Danio rerio: one gene and its partner. The protein of the gene in region 2 purifies or fractionates together with the protein of the main gene of each other region. This does not show direct contact. Links are inferred from orthologs where the notes say so. Each region holds a gene or a part of one and is shown on either strand. Other genes may lie near its edges.

Region 1 (3,659 bases), on a different chromosome or scaffold from region 2:
TTCATTAAATACCAGGAATAAATTACATTTCAAAATATATTCAATAAGAAATTTGCTATTTTATATTGTAATAATATTTCACAATTTTACAGTTGTTTTATTACTGTATTTCTGATCAAATAATACATTTATTAATAAGTTTTGATCAAAATAAATAATTTCCAATCCCAAACTTTTGACAGGTGGAGTAATTCAGTAGCTTATATAAGCTGCAGTAATAATAATAATTTTAATGATAATAATAATAAACTTACTGAAAGTGGATGAAGCTTTTCATCAAAAATGTCTAACAGCATTCGCCCGTCCACATTTCTGAAAGAAGAGTGAATGGGTATTAGATTAAGCAAGACAGTCTAAGCTGTATTCTTATAATGCATTAAAGAACCAGGAAAGAAACGTCTGTTGTGATAGACATTCAATGTGGCCCAAACCGTGTCCTGAAAGTTTCTTTAAAACAGCTTTGAAGTTTGAAGGTTATCAAGCATTAAGGGTTTATATGGTGTTAAGGGTTTGAGAAAAAGACACAGAATAAAGTTTTGACTCAGATTGACAGATGAGTGAACGCGAATGGATTAGCACAGACATGATGTTAGATGGATGGAAAGACACACAGATAGATAAATAAACAAAAAATAAATAAAGACAAGAATACAGACATTTAATTAATATACAGAAGAATAAACAGACAGAGAGAAAGATAGACACAGGCAAACAGACAGATATACAATAGTCCGTCTGACAGATAGATTATAGATAGACAGATTATAAAACAGATAGACAGATACATATTATAGATAGAAAGATAGATAGACAGACAGATAGATATATTAGATAGATAAATAGACAGACAGACAGACAGACATAAACAGATATATAGGTAGACCGACAGATGGATTATAGACAGACAGACAGACAGATGAATGAAAGAGACAGACAGCTAGACAGTCAGACAGACAAAGCAGGAATTTACCAATGTAAGATCCTCATTCTGAAACCACACGGACACAACCCAATCAAATAAAGCTCATACAAACAGTTCATTGTACAAATCATACTGATAGACATTTTCCTAAACAGGTCTGTCACTCTGAACTAGCAGACCAGACAATCAATCTCTCCCACAGTGCACCGCAGCACATGTGGACCAGTGAATTAGGATCTCTCTTGGTAAAATGAAACTCCAGTGTGTTTTTGTAAAGAGCGACACACTGCAGGACTTCATCAATCCAATCCTCAAAAACAAAACCATCCTTTCATACTGTTGTGGAATCATTCAAACACACACACACACACACACACACACACACTTCCCTTGGCTCCCACACTGATCTGATGAGAGTCATCTCAGACATACCTGTTCTTTATGTGGTAGTATATTGCGAGGGCGACACTGCAAACACAACAAAATATTAGTCAAACATTGACAATGTATCAATAATATACCTATATTACATTAAGACTAAACTGAACATTTTAATCACCATAAAATGCACATAAAAAAGCAGACTGTACATGTTGATCAAGCAGAAGAACTAACTAACAAATGTAAAAAACATAAATAATAATATAAAAAACATAAATAATAATAATATGAAATCGCAGTGATATGCTGGTATTAGTAATACTACTACTACTAATAATTTAATAATAATATATTTTTTATTTAATGTTGTTAGCATGCTATTAAGAAGGTTTTGCAATATACAGGAATTGTATGTATGCTTATTAAAACATTAAAAGTACAGATATGATTATATGACATTAATTCATACATGCATGTAACCAGAGGGCACTGTTACACAGAGAGAGAACAAGTGAGTACACATGAGGAAAATGTATAACATTAACATAAAAATCTGCCAGATAGCTCACTTCCTCACTGAATCAGCTCAGATGTGTTGCAGTTATTATATATAAACACTGCTTAGGAAAGTTGCAAGCCTTAATTTCTTCTTGTGCAAATCAAAACCTTGTTTCACTGCCTAAAAAAAGCCATTTTAAACTTTGAAAATGAATGAAACGCAGCTCTATTACTGTTATATGGAGGTTTCTAGTACCATTTGATGGTGTATTTGAGGTTGGGTTGGCTGACGGTGCTGTCGTCTAGGAAGATCGTCGAACATGAGCTGTACTTCCGTCTCATTGGACCAGACGGATGTTGCTAAAAGACAAGGACACACACAAAATTACAAACTAAACATCAGTCACTCTCATGCACACACACAGATTCAGCAAACAGACTGCAAATTAGGCCACCTGCAGCCCCAAACAAGCCATTATCATCTCATTTATACCAGAGTGACTAGCTTAATGAGTATGTGAATGTGTGTGTGTGTGTTAGTAAGAATCCCTGCCCAGTACAACAAACAACACACTAAAGTATTATGCAACTTGCTAACAAATTTATAGCAAGATATCAAACGGATAAGCCACATTAAAGGGACAGTTCAACCAAAAATAAAGGCTCTGTCATCAGTTAGGCTACTCATCCTCCACTTGTTGTAAACATGTTTGAATTCCTTTCTTTGTATGCAAAAGAAGATAATTAGGGGAAAATGTTGGAGACTGGTAGCTTTAATTGCATTCAAACTTATGTGCAAAACTGGAATACCGATGCAAATGAAGCAGCGTTTTTATCCAGTAAGTCAAAGAGAACAAAATCATCACTTTCTGGAAAATATGTGCCAAATATCAAAAGGAAAATGTAATTTACAGCAGAGGTAGAAGCCGCTGTGGGCCTTTTTTCTTATATGATAAATTATGTAAGCTTATTATGACCAAACACAAAAGAACACATGGTGGCTTTTAGCAGATGGAGATCCAAAACAAGGTGTCTTAAAAAGTATTAAAAGTTGACAAATCAATTATGAGAAAATTAAGGCCCTTAAAAGGTTTTTAAAAGTCTTAATTGAGTTTTTACGTGGCCTTAAATTTTGTTCAAGCTTTGTTTAAAGTGTTTGACTCCAAAAAAGCATAAATATATTTGTGTTCCTTTTAATATTAACAACAGCATGCTCAGTCCACGTGATGTCATGTAATTTGTCCACGTCCGGTTGATGTCACGTAATTTGCGACAAACAAGGGAAGGTAATGTGACACTTGGTAATTGTTGTGGTCTAAAACCAGGCGTGACTATTAACATCCATATTAGAAAAAGAAAATAATATGATCCAGTGGCCACCAGTTTCCAACATTCTTTAAGAAAATATGATTTTGTGTTAAACAGATTTGGAACAAGTGGAAAAAGAGTACATGATGACATAATTTTCATTACCAAGGTGAACCCTTTAATAAATCAATAAATCAATGTCAAAAGAGACACAACAGTTTAAGGAAAGGAAAGAGTAGAGCAATGAGCAAATATTTACCTTTGACTCCGCAATGTGCGTTAACTTGCAAAGCAATAAAAGACATTAAAATGGGAACAAAACAGCAGCTATTCATTGCACATTTAGTATGAATAGCATGCGCTAATGAAATGAAGAAAACCAAGCCGTGCATTTGAAATCAGTTCTATCAGAAAACAAAAGAACAGCTGTTACTGATGCAAACTAAAAGCCTCATGCAATTCTGCGTTCTGCATTCTCCTATGGTGGTGGTGGCGTGTTGATTTGATTTGTTTTGTGGGTGAAGTGATGTCTTTATTGTAGACACAAGCA
Region 2 (3,659 bases):
GATGTCGTGTAGCAGCACAATGTTGGCATGCTTCAGTCCTTTCAGCAGAGACGCTGCACACACACACACACACACACACGCATCACTTTCACCGTTAGCAATTTCAGAGGCCGATATACATGTACAGTCAAAGTCTGATTTATTAGCCTACCTGAATGATATTGTTTAAGGGGGCGAATAATAATAATGGGTTTAAAACAATTAAAAACTGCTTTTGTTTTAGCCGAAATGAAACAAATAAGACTTTCTCCAGAAGAACAAATATTATAGGAAATACTGTGAAAAATTCCTGAATCTGTTCGACATCATTTGGGAAATAATTGAGAAAGAAACAAATTTACAGGAGGGTTGTAACTGTAAATTATGCTGATTATTAACCAGAAACAAAACATTTTGCATTTAGCTTTACCTTCTCTGATGGCTGTAAATGGTGTTCCTTCTTCCTCCTGCAGACGAATCACTTTCAGAGCAACCAGTTTCCCGTTCACCCTGAAGACACAGAGAAACACACTTTTTAGCTTAAACTGATCTCTGGTACAGCAGTGATCCTTAGGAAATACCACAGTAAAAGTCTATTGGACCCCTGGCGATAAGAGAACAGACTGACTGCAAAGGCTTAATTCCCAGGAAACACATGAACTGATAATAATGCATGCGTTGACATTTTCTGTAAGTCACTTGAAAATGTCTGGATAAAAGTGAATCAAGCGCATAAAATTGTGTGAAAATAAAATAAAGTAAAATCACAAAAAATAAATAAATCACAATGAAATAAAACAAATCACAATAAAATACAGTAAATCAACAAATTCAAATCACAAAATCATAACAATATAATACAATAAATTATTATAAATTATAATAAATCACAATAAATCTAAATAAATACAGTCACAATAAAATAAAACAAATAAAAATAAAATCACAATAAAATAGAGTAAATCAAAATAAACAATCACAAAAAATTCAATCATAGTAAAAAATAAAAGTAATGACTATAAAATAAAATCATACCAATATAAAAAATTACAATACAAATCATAATAAAATAGTATATCAAAAAAAACAATCACAAAAAATAAAATAACAAAATAAAATAAAAAATTACAATAAAATACAATAAATCACGATAAACACAGTAAATTAAAATAAAACACGATTACAAAAATTAAATCACAATAAAACACAATCAATCACAAAAAATTCAATCAGAAACAGAAAAAATAATTATTAAATAAAGTAAAATATATTAAAGCCATGATAAAATTCAATAGAATAAAATAAAAGCAAAAGTAAAATTAAATATTAAATTAAATAAATCACACTAAATTACAGTCTCAATAAAATAAAATCACAACAAAAATACAAAAATCACATCAAAATAAAATAAAATACAATACAATAAATCACAATTATATAAAATATTTTTAGGGATACAAAACAGAAAAACAAATAAATAGTTTAGTTCAGTGGTGTCCAATCTCAGTCCAGAAGGGCCGGTGTCCTGCTGAGTTTAGCTCCAACTGGCTTTAACACACCCCTCAGAAAGATTTAATCTAGTATATCTAGAACATATAATTAAAATATAATAAATAAAATAAAATTACAGGAAAAAATGTTATAAAATAAAAATAAAATTGTATTAAATAAAGGAAAATAAATTAAAGTCATAATAAAATAAATTGAAATAAAAAGTCAACGTAAATGTTAAAATAAAAAATCACTATAAAGTACAGTCATAATAAAATATAATCATAAAAAAAATCAAAATATAATTAAATATTTTAGGGATACAAAATAGACGAACAAATACAGTTTAACAAAATAAAACAAAATATAGAAAAATGGAATTTGGAGAAATAAAATAATTCATAGGGTCTGGTTAATGAGTTTTATGAAATAGCTTTAATAACTAAAACAATCAGACATTTCATCATTATTGTTTTTATTAAAGTTTAATTAAAACAGTATAATCAAATCTAGATATACTTTATTAAAACAGAAAACTGAATAAGGGAATAAAGTGGAGCATTTAGGATATGGGATGAGATTTTATCCAGTGCAAGTTACAAGTCTCTGTTTTTAAATGGTGTTTAATCAAAGGAACTGATGAGTTTTTTCGGAGGTGGATTCATGCATTTAGTAATAAAATGCAGAGATCATTTGAGTGCAGGAAGATGTTAAAGACAATAAACAGAGTCACGTGTGATTTACTGCAGACTGGAAGTCAATGAGATGCAATTTAAAGGCAGTGGAGTGAATCTAAACGCAGAGGTCAAGAGCTTTAATAAATCAACTCACACACACACACACACACACACAAAAACACACACACACACACACACACACACACACACACACACACACACACACACACACACACACACAGCATCATTACTGTCAAACACACACATTGACGCTCAATTCATTTCACACCAACACAGATTTGATTTTACACGCTTTCATTTATGAAGGGAACACATGATTTCATGCTCCAGTTGAGAAGCTGGGGCTTTCTGTTAATAATTTTATCTTAACATTTTATATTACTTAACAAAATGTCTGATAAATGCACAAAATTGAGTGAATAAAGTAAAATATAATCAAATAAAATGCAATAAAAAGCAATAAAATTAAATTAAATAAAAATTAATAAAAAATAAATAAATAAATTTAAAAAGCAATAAAATTAAATAAAACAATAAAACAAAATGAAACAAAATGAAACAAAATGCAATGCAATAAAAAGCAATAAAAAATTAAATAAAAATAAATAAAACAAAAGACAAAATAAAAGACAATAAAATGCAACAAGACAAAAAACAAAGCCATAAAATGCAATAAAAGCAATAGAATAAATAAAATAAAAATAAATAACGATAAGCAAAGCAAAACAAAACAAAATAAAATAATATGCAATAAAATGCAACAAAACAAATCAAGAAAACAAAAGCAATAAAATGCAAAAAAGCAATAAAATAAAATACAAAATAAAAAACTACAAATAAAACAAAACAAAAAATAAATAAAATAATAAAATATTTTCAGCAAACAAATAAATAGATTAGATAGAACTAATGAATTTTATATCATAAAAAAATTGTAAAGAACATTAATGAAACCGTATTGTAAAGAGTGATCAACATTTCTGTACTGTTGTGCCATGATAAAGTCAGTAGGCATGTGTATAAATCAAACACACTCACTTGCTCTTCCCTTTGTAAACAGTGGCGTAGGATCCTTCTCCCAGTTTCTCCAGCTTCTCGTATGAATCCGCTTTGCCAAACTTTGGGCTTGTGGGCTGAAAAACAAAGATTAAACGATCAGTCCACTTACAGAATTTAACTTTCCTGCTTATTTACTCTCCTTCATTGCCACCTGACGTGTTTATTTCTTCTGAAGTGGAAAATACATGATGAAAATATGTAGAATTTCTACAGTACTTCAGATTAAGTGCAGCTTTAAACACTCTAAAGCAGGGAAGTCCAAACTCGGTTCTGGAGGGCCAGTGTCCGGCAGATTTCAACCCAAACTTACCTCAACACACCTGCACGGATGTTTCTAGAAAGCATAAATGATTACTTACCCCAGGTGTGTCTGATTGGGGTTGGGACTAAAAAAGTTTGCAGGACACCGGCCCTCCAGGACCGAGTTTGGGC

Evidence for each region. Proteins that work in one complex are often made in the same cells at the same time.
Region 1: the proteins of cdk14 (region 2) and ccny purify together in Homo sapiens (affinity purification with western blotting; 3 studies listed by BioGRID and IntAct, with this or other methods). This does not show direct contact. The link is inferred for Danio rerio from reciprocal best matches to the Homo sapiens genes CDK14 and CCNY.

What each region holds. Positions count from the first base shown.
Region 1 is NC_133199.1:4,595,785-4,599,443, reverse strand, and holds part of ccny (cyclin-Y), read right to left. Parts: intron 3,393-3,659; coding exon 3,369-3,392; intron 2,162-3,368; coding exon 2,058-2,161; intron 1,391-2,057; coding exon 1,355-1,390; intron 313-1,354; coding exon 255-312; intron 1-254. UniProt on the Homo sapiens protein: Positive regulatory subunit of the cyclin-dependent kinases CDK14/PFTK1 and CDK16.
Region 2 is NC_133191.1:58,424,478-58,428,136, forward strand, and holds part of cdk14 (cyclin-dependent kinase 14), read right to left. Parts: intron 3,302-3,659; coding exon 3,207-3,301; intron 490-3,206; coding exon 410-489; intron 54-409; coding exon 1-53. UniProt on the Homo sapiens protein: Serine/threonine-protein kinase involved in the control of the eukaryotic cell cycle, whose activity is controlled by an associated cyclin.